2 linked regions of the Coturnix japonica genome follow. The protein of the gene in region 2 interacts with the protein of the main gene of each other region in a pairwise test. Links are inferred from orthologs where the notes say so. Each region holds a gene or a part of one and is shown on either strand. Other genes may lie near its edges.

Region 1 (3,886 bases), on a different chromosome or scaffold from region 2:
TAGTACCACTTTTACATCATCATAGGACTACAACATGCACATTCCACTATGTGGCCCAAGCAACAAGAATACAAGTAGAACAGTTACGGGCGGAGACAGGTTCATGTTAACACCACCTATGAATTTTTAGAAACCTTTTTGGATGGGTACCTACAGCAGTTCATCAATTTGTGTGGGGACATTACACGCATGCACAAGTGATACAGTGGAAAACATAGCAGGAGCGACAGCAGGACAAAGGATGAAGGTGGAATCTGTGATGGATGCAATGAAAACAAGACCTTCCTCAGCTTTCTACAGCAAGTCTCTGCTCTGTTAGCGAGGCCTGCTGGGCAACAGTTTTGTTCTCATGGCTGCGGAGTTTTGATACGACTTCTAGGAACGCCATGTTCTGCACTTCCTTTTGGAGAGATTCTGGAAAAGAAATGGTAGGAGAAACAGTTCTTTGTATGAGATGTGCAAGAGAACAGCAAAGCATGGTGTGAAGCACTTAGGAAAGTGTCAGCACTACCCCGTGCCCATTGTATTTGTATAAGCCCACAAATGTAATCTTTTTATTTACTGTTTTGAATTGCTTTTAAGAATAGAGGAAATCTCTGAGGCTTTGAGCTTGCACAGACCCCCATATTTCAGGTAGAGATGAAGGATGAAGTTTCTGCATAGCAAACTATGCATAACAGTTACAAAAATCTACCTGGAATGCCTTCCAAAAAAGATGCTTAAGAATTTTTTTAATTGAATGTTTTTGTTTGATTCCTTAAACTATTTTGATGGAGTGAGCAAGTTCGCCTGAAGGGTTCACTGCATAGCTCGTCTGTATCAAATCAGCTCTGGCTGGTTGTGAGAGCGTGAAGAGGATATGTCACCACCTCATCACTGGTAGGTGGCCATTTTACAGTTCAGCTCTGTACTTGTCACAAGTACAGCACACCAGGTAATGTTATGTGTATATATACAGCATTTATGTTTGACTTGAAACTTTGAGGCCATTTCATGGTTCCTATCCTGGATAGCATTCTACTTGATGTCAGAAAGGAAAGGAAGGGAGCTTATTCAAAGCCCTATGCTCTAGACTTCCCACAGTTAAGAGCCAAAGCAGCTGGTTTTGTTTCATGTCCTGTTTAGTCCATTCTAGTGAACTCACTCAGCAACAAACACCTACATGTATTTTTTGCTTCCCAGGTGCTGCTGGGGGCTTAATCCCTGAGCTTCCCAGGAGGAATTCCAACCAGCTGTTTCAGATTAGCTATGCTATATATGCTATGCGTATTTACGGCTTTTCCTTACAACACTCTTGGGCATTTCTTTCTCTTCTTACTTTCTTGTTCACACGTTTTCACTGGGTTTTCTTTTTTTCTTGTAGTTATCCCTGTCTTTGTGTGTTGGGAGCTCTCATGCTGCTGTGCACCTGGGAACCAGTATATACTGAGCAGTGTCAGTGAAGCTGTTGGGTGCTTAGGCTGTGCAGGCACTTTCCATTCCCCTTTCTAAGATATCATCAAGCATAAGCAGTGTTACTGAACTGCCTTTGAGGAGCTTGCTGTGACTTGCTGCGTAAACAAAACTTAATACCAGAGTTGCTCAGTTGTTGCTCTTATATACTGGCTATTTTTACACGGGTCTATTCATGAGGAAGCAGGGCTGAACATTGGAGCAGCTCTGACTTCTTCACAGCTGTGCATTGCAATAATGTGCTGTCTGCTCCCTGGGAGAATGCCAAGATGCCTCATGTCTAGGCAAAGTTTACAGTGTGGTGGCAGAACAATCTCTGCCACTTGGATAACCCTGAAAAAACAAGGGAAGACTGCACCCTTATTCTGGTGGAATAGCGAGACAGTTGTTTGACTTTAAATAACACTGTCAGTCAATCTTGCAGGTGACGTGACTTGGAGAAATGAAAATGCAAGGGTCAGGCAAAACTTCTGAGGGTGACAGTTTTTGTTGTAAGTGCGCATAAGAACATCACAGTGAGTGAAAGAAATGTAGCCACTTCTTGAATCCTTAACTGAAGATCAAATGTGCTCCGTTCCCTGCATCAGCACTTCCAGCAGAGGCACATGTTGGAACACCTCCTGTTTATCACCACAAAGTCAGTTGTGCCTGGAGCATGCTTGGGCTGCCAAGGGAAGAACCCTTCCTAGCAAGGAGAGTGAGGATCCCTCCTAGGGCAGGACTACATCAACATGTTGTACTAAGTTCTCATTTGTATGTGTCTCTGCAAGTATTTCTTATCTTTTTAAACTTCCTGCAATTCTTGGAGGAATTTAAAGTCAAGAGGTACCTTGCAAACTTCTCTTCCACTTAATTTTACTTGTGTAAGTTGAAAAACAGCAAACCAGCCGTCATACATCAGTTACAGGGAACTTACAGCTAAAGGCGAAAATTAACTTGTTATCCATGTGCTTGCACAGAGAGCCCAATACTGTACAGTTTAAAATGTCTTTCATTTTTTTTTCCTGTTAAATTTCCAGGAGCTTCCTGCAGAAGCCAGAATCTGATTTCTGTAGTTAATATCCAAAACAGAATGAACAGCCTCTTTTTCTAGACCCTATAAAGTGTCACAGTAAACTGAGCCATTCTGCGAACACTCATAGTAAACGGAGAACTGGTCTCAGTGTATTTGCACATTTGCACGTGCCCTACGTTTAATCTACAGAAAGATTAATTATATAATTGTTTTGGGAAAGCAGTCCCTCTCAAGTACTCACCAGATCCTATAAGGGCACAGACCAGCACCATGGAGTTATATTTTATTTCTGGAGCACTCCTGTCATCTGATAGCAGTCTGTGTAGAATCTGAACAAGCTGAGCATTTTCAAGATCCTTTTCAGCAGTGACTGAAATACAAGTGAAAACTTGTGAAACTGGAATTGGTGCTTCATTGGATACTTTTGTGTTTCAGCCTTTTATGGAAACATGGATCTCTAACTGGTAATGAAACTGGTGCTGCAGTAGAACAGGTTGGATGGTTTGGTGATAGGAATCACAGCTCTCGCTATAAAAGTGCAAAATAGCCAAACTGCTTGAGAAGACAATCACTATGTTCAGTGATAAAATCTAATCTTAAATGTACAGTGAGCTGATGGAAAATGTGCCTGGCTTTCTACCTACTTAGGCTAGCACTTGCAACATTTAAGCATAGAAGACTTTGCCTGAATTTCCTTTTAGAAAATTTGCCTGAATTTAATATTGACAGGGGAAATCTTGACTCCACAGTAGGAAAACTCGAGGTCTATTGTTAACACTGTGAAAGGCTTTGCAAGATCAGAGTATGATTTTTTTTCCCCCTGAAGTTTTCTAGAAAATATACTGAATTCAGGCTTGAAACCTTTAGATGTCTGAAGGGTCAGAAAATTCACATAAATATCATTTCCTTTCAGTAAAAAAGAAATAATTGGCAGTGATTTGGAAGTTGAATGCAGCATTCTGCGGGTACACAATGACAAGAGATGAGATCAAAAACAAAAGTATGTGGTACTTGTTTAGTTCATTATACTAATTAATAAGCAAACAAACAGTACAAATTAAGCCCCCACTTAGAGGAGATTTAAGTTACTTGTTAGGAGGTAACTCTTTACTCAGAGGGCAGTGAGGCACTGGAACAGGCTGCCCAGAGAAGTTATGGATTCCACATCCCTGGAGATGTTCAAGGCAAAGTTGGATGGGATCTTGGGCAGTCTGATCTAGTGAGAGGCAGCCCTGACCATGGTGGGAGGAAGTGGAACTGGTTATTTTTGTTACCTTCCAACCTAAGCCATTCTATGAAGCTGAAGCATGTAATCATCTCTGTCTTCATATGGCAACTCTAGACATATTTTGGGGCCTCATCCACCTCTGTATGTATTCTGTAGCTCCTGCTGATTAGGTAAGTGAAAGCTTTTTTCAG
Region 2 (3,886 bases):
TACAGATAGAAAGTCATTGGTTTAAACACTCTTTGATAAGTCCTGTGATCATTGCTTCCTTTACAGATGCTTTCTCTCTTTCAAGGTTTTCCATGACCATGGTCTTTTAGACAAACAAGACTCAAGTGTAAGAGAGGGTTCAGATATAGACCTGCTATCCCTTTCTGAGGTTCATCGTTGCCTTTAGCCTGGAAGGGTGTGTGAAAGTGAGGGTTCAAAAGGGCTGTGTATTGATTCAGATAACAACACTGCTGCAATCTGACTCTCGCAGTGTTGTTTTACCCTTCTGTGATCGTCCTCCTCCATTACAAAATTATAATAGCACTGTATGTCTGTCTACATTCAAAGGATGTGAAAATTAATAATTAATGTCTATGTTTCATGCATGGCCAAAGTTCAAAAAACCTTATTTTTCCTAGTATTGAAGTACCTTTATCACCCCCAGTGCATCTCTCTTGTTTTTCAGTTCTCTGTCATCCTTGTTTTTCCAGACAACTATGTGGTGACAGATCACGGCTCCTGTGTTCGCTCATGCAATACTGATACTTATGAAGTGGAAGAAAACGGTGTTCGGAAGTGTAAAAAATGTGATGGGCTATGCAGCAAAGGTATAAAAATCATGGTGTGAAACAGTAAGGCTTTAGTTGATTGATGATGTCATCAATGGAGTTATGAACTGAATTTAGCCCTCAAATTGCAAATTCAATACCCACATCCACTGCTAGTTTGAAGTTTTGACAGGCTGTTTTCTCAGGAAGTATGGTAGAAGAGCATGCTTCCGCAGGGATATGCTGCAAGTACACTTACACAGATAAACTGCACTTAATGTGTATCCTACACATCAGCCTCTTTTATTTATCCTTCTCGGTGTCTCATCAATGGGAATAAAATGAAAATGGGACCAAGAGAAGGGCATGTGTCAGAGTGTGTATGCAGAGATGCTAGGACCAGGACTGCACAGCTATGCAAGAGAGAAGTGTTTTTCTTTTGGTGATATCTGAAAAGCAGATTTATGAAACTGAACTTACAATGGTAGAATTGTCCAAGTGGAAATGCCTTTTTGAACATCAGGATTTTTGTACGTATTTCCTTATGTGTGATGATGCTTCTCTCTTCTCTACCAAACTTTTGTGTCCCTATTTTAACAGTGTGCAATGGCATTGGAATAGGTGAACTTAAAGGGATTCTATCTATAAATGCCACAAACATTGACTCCTTCAAAAACTGTACGAAGATCAATGGGGATGTCAGCATTCTTCCTGTTGCATTTCTAGGGTGAGTTTCCTGCTGGTCATTGAGAACTAGAAGAGAGGGTCTAGGGAGAAATTCAGGCTGATTCCTTCTTCTCTCAATACCTCTTTCTGTTTGTTTCAGGGATGCTTTCACAAAGACACTACCCCTTGACCCTAAGAAGCTGGATGTCTTCAGAACAGTCAAAGAAATATCAGGTCAGTGACGATGTTATCTGAGCAGTACTGCCAAAAAACTGCCAAAAACATAAAGCAAGAAGAAGTAAGTTCCCAAAGTCAGTGAGTGGAAGTGCAAGCAGATGGTTTCTGTCCTTGAGCTTCTGTGTCAATGCTCACACTGGCAGGTCAGCAGCACCTTGCCAGTGTTACACTCACCCTGCCTCCCATTCAAAGTGTGTGGTTTTTCCAGATCATCCTTCCTGATGAATTGTCAGCCCTACTGAAGACTAAAAGTAGAAGTAATTCTCAGCTACCCAATAAGTGCGGTGATTCAGAGGCATGCCACTCTGTATAAAAATAGCCAGTGTTTCTCTCTGTGGTAATCCGTTCTGCAGTTCCTTAAGGAACAATGCTCACTCTCTTGCATCATCCTCATGGAGACATGTGGAGACACCCTCCCCAACCCAAAGAGCCCTGCCTCGAGATTAGCACAAAGTGGCTGAGAGCAACAAAGTACGAGAGTGCTCTACTGAAATCTTGCAACTTGAAAGTAATTTTGTTCATCCAGTTATAAAACCAATGTAATGTCAGAGTCCATGACTCCAGGTCCACTTTATCTCCTTTGTCTGTCTTTTTGCCTTCAGGGTAGCAGTGACTAACCTCAGAGTTTCATACAGCAGTGTGCAATTTCCAAAATTCTTTCACTTCTACAGAGTATTTCACCTGAACAGAAAAATTTGCATGTCATAGCAAATGCACTCTGAGTTGCTGACAGTTCTGTGCCATTCCTGCTTTATGCCTACTTCTCTTATCAAAGGGCAGCTCACAAAGGGGACAGGACAGTGCCTCCTCATTGTGCAGGGGAGCCCACAGCCCCTCAAACAGGGTATTCTTGTATCAAGGCAGCTCAGCATGGCAGATGCACTGCCCCTGACACACTGTTCTCTGGTGCTCCTGATCCTTATGGTGGACTAAAAAGTAAACTGTTTACAAAACAGTGTTTACAAATATCCCTAAAATGTCATGTTTAATTTTGAGATTCTCAGAAAAGCATGTGGAAAGCACAAGTGCCTTCTCCTGGCACAAGAGAATCTCAAGAAGGACATTTCACCTCCAATACTGACTGTTTGCATTATTATTATTTTTATTTGATCTTCTTTTCTTCATTTCAGGATTTTTGTTGATTCAGGCCTGGCCTGATAATGCTACTGATCTCTATGCTTTTGAAAATCTGGAGATTATCCGAGGCCGAACCAAGCAGCAGTAAGTAAATGACATGCCAGGATCCTTGTAGAAGGAGATCTGTTGGGAACTGCATTTATCTGAGCACACCAGGGTGCCTAGCACTGGGATACATGGGTGTCACAAAATTCATGCAAAACAGGAAATAGCCTGAAAGGTGCTGAGCACCATTTTGGTAGCATTAGAGTAAGATTAAACCCAAAGCTCTGTACTGTTGTTAGAACCTCTATCCAGCACCCGCTTAAGCTTGCCTCAAGTGGAAGAATGACTTTGTGGACCAGCACAAAATAGTTTCTCTGCTTACTGCTATCCTTACACATTATTCATTTGGTGGAGCACATATGTTCTGCTGGATTTAGTTTAAAATTCCCATTAGAAAAAAATGGTTGCACAGCAATATGTACCAAAAGATAAATGCTCCAAGTACAACCCTGTTTACTAATTCTTTTTTTTTTTTTTTTTCCGTGTCTTCTTTTTGTCTGTATTCATTTCAGTGGCCAGTATTCCCTTGCTGTTGTTAACTTGAAAATACAGTCCTTGGGGCTGCGCTCCCTCAAAGAAATAAGTGATGGAGACATTGCCATTATGAAGAACAGGAACCTCTGCTATGCTGACACCATGAACTGGCGCAGCTTGTTTGCTACTCAGAGTCAGAAAACAAAAATTATACAGAACAGAAATAAAAACGACTGTAGTAAGTCAATCTGTTTTCCTGCCCTTGCAAAAGCTCATAATGAAATGGAAGAGTAATTTGATGCAAAATTGATCAACAATAGTGCTTTATTGAAGACAGTGAGGGAAAAGTGGAGTTGGTCCTCCAGGAGATGTGGGCTTCATGGTGATTGTACACCCTGTTATAGATATAGTGACAGACACAGAAGCCAGCTCTAGACATCAGGCTTGTTTTACAAAGTTAATCACTCAGCAATGGTCCCTGGACCAAAGTCTAATTATTTCTCTTTCCAGAATATGAATTTGCTACATACTGGGAATGTATCTCCTCTGGTATTGGTTTTGCTTTACTGTAAGTCTGGTACATGATCACAATGGATCTCATTTGAATTTTGAAAGGCCAGAATTTGCTCCAAAAACAAAGACAAGAAGTCAAACTTCAGGAATTAGGAAAACTGTGATTATTCCTCTTCTACTAGGGTCATTTGTGTCTGCTTTGGAATACTTTGGAAAAAAAATGACTGTCAGGATGGAGTTATTTGCTATTCTCTTGCCCTGAAGTT

The links.
Region 1: the proteins of EGFR (region 2) and RAP1GDS1 interact in a protein complementation assay, tested with the Homo sapiens proteins (2 studies listed by BioGRID and IntAct). The link is inferred for Coturnix japonica from reciprocal best matches to the Homo sapiens genes EGFR and RAP1GDS1.

What each region holds. Positions count from the first base shown.
Region 1 is NC_029519.1:53,764,208-53,768,093, reverse strand, and holds part of RAP1GDS1 (rap1 GTPase-GDP dissociation stimulator 1), read right to left. Parts: intron 2,838-3,886; coding exon 2,709-2,837; intron 415-2,708; coding exon 287-414; 3' UTR 1-286. UniProt on the Homo sapiens protein: Acts as a GEF (guanine nucleotide exchange factor) for the Rho family of small GTP-binding proteins (G proteins) that stimulates the dissociation of GDP to enable subsequent binding of GTP.
Region 2 is NC_029517.1:73,939,009-73,942,894, forward strand, and holds part of EGFR (epidermal growth factor receptor), read left to right. Parts: intron 1-491; coding exon 492-608; intron 609-1,148; coding exon 1,149-1,275; intron 1,276-1,374; coding exon 1,375-1,448; intron 1,449-2,581; coding exon 2,582-2,672; intron 2,673-3,145; coding exon 3,146-3,345; intron 3,346-3,886. UniProt on the Homo sapiens protein: Receptor tyrosine kinase binding ligands of the EGF family and activating several signaling cascades to convert extracellular cues into appropriate cellular responses.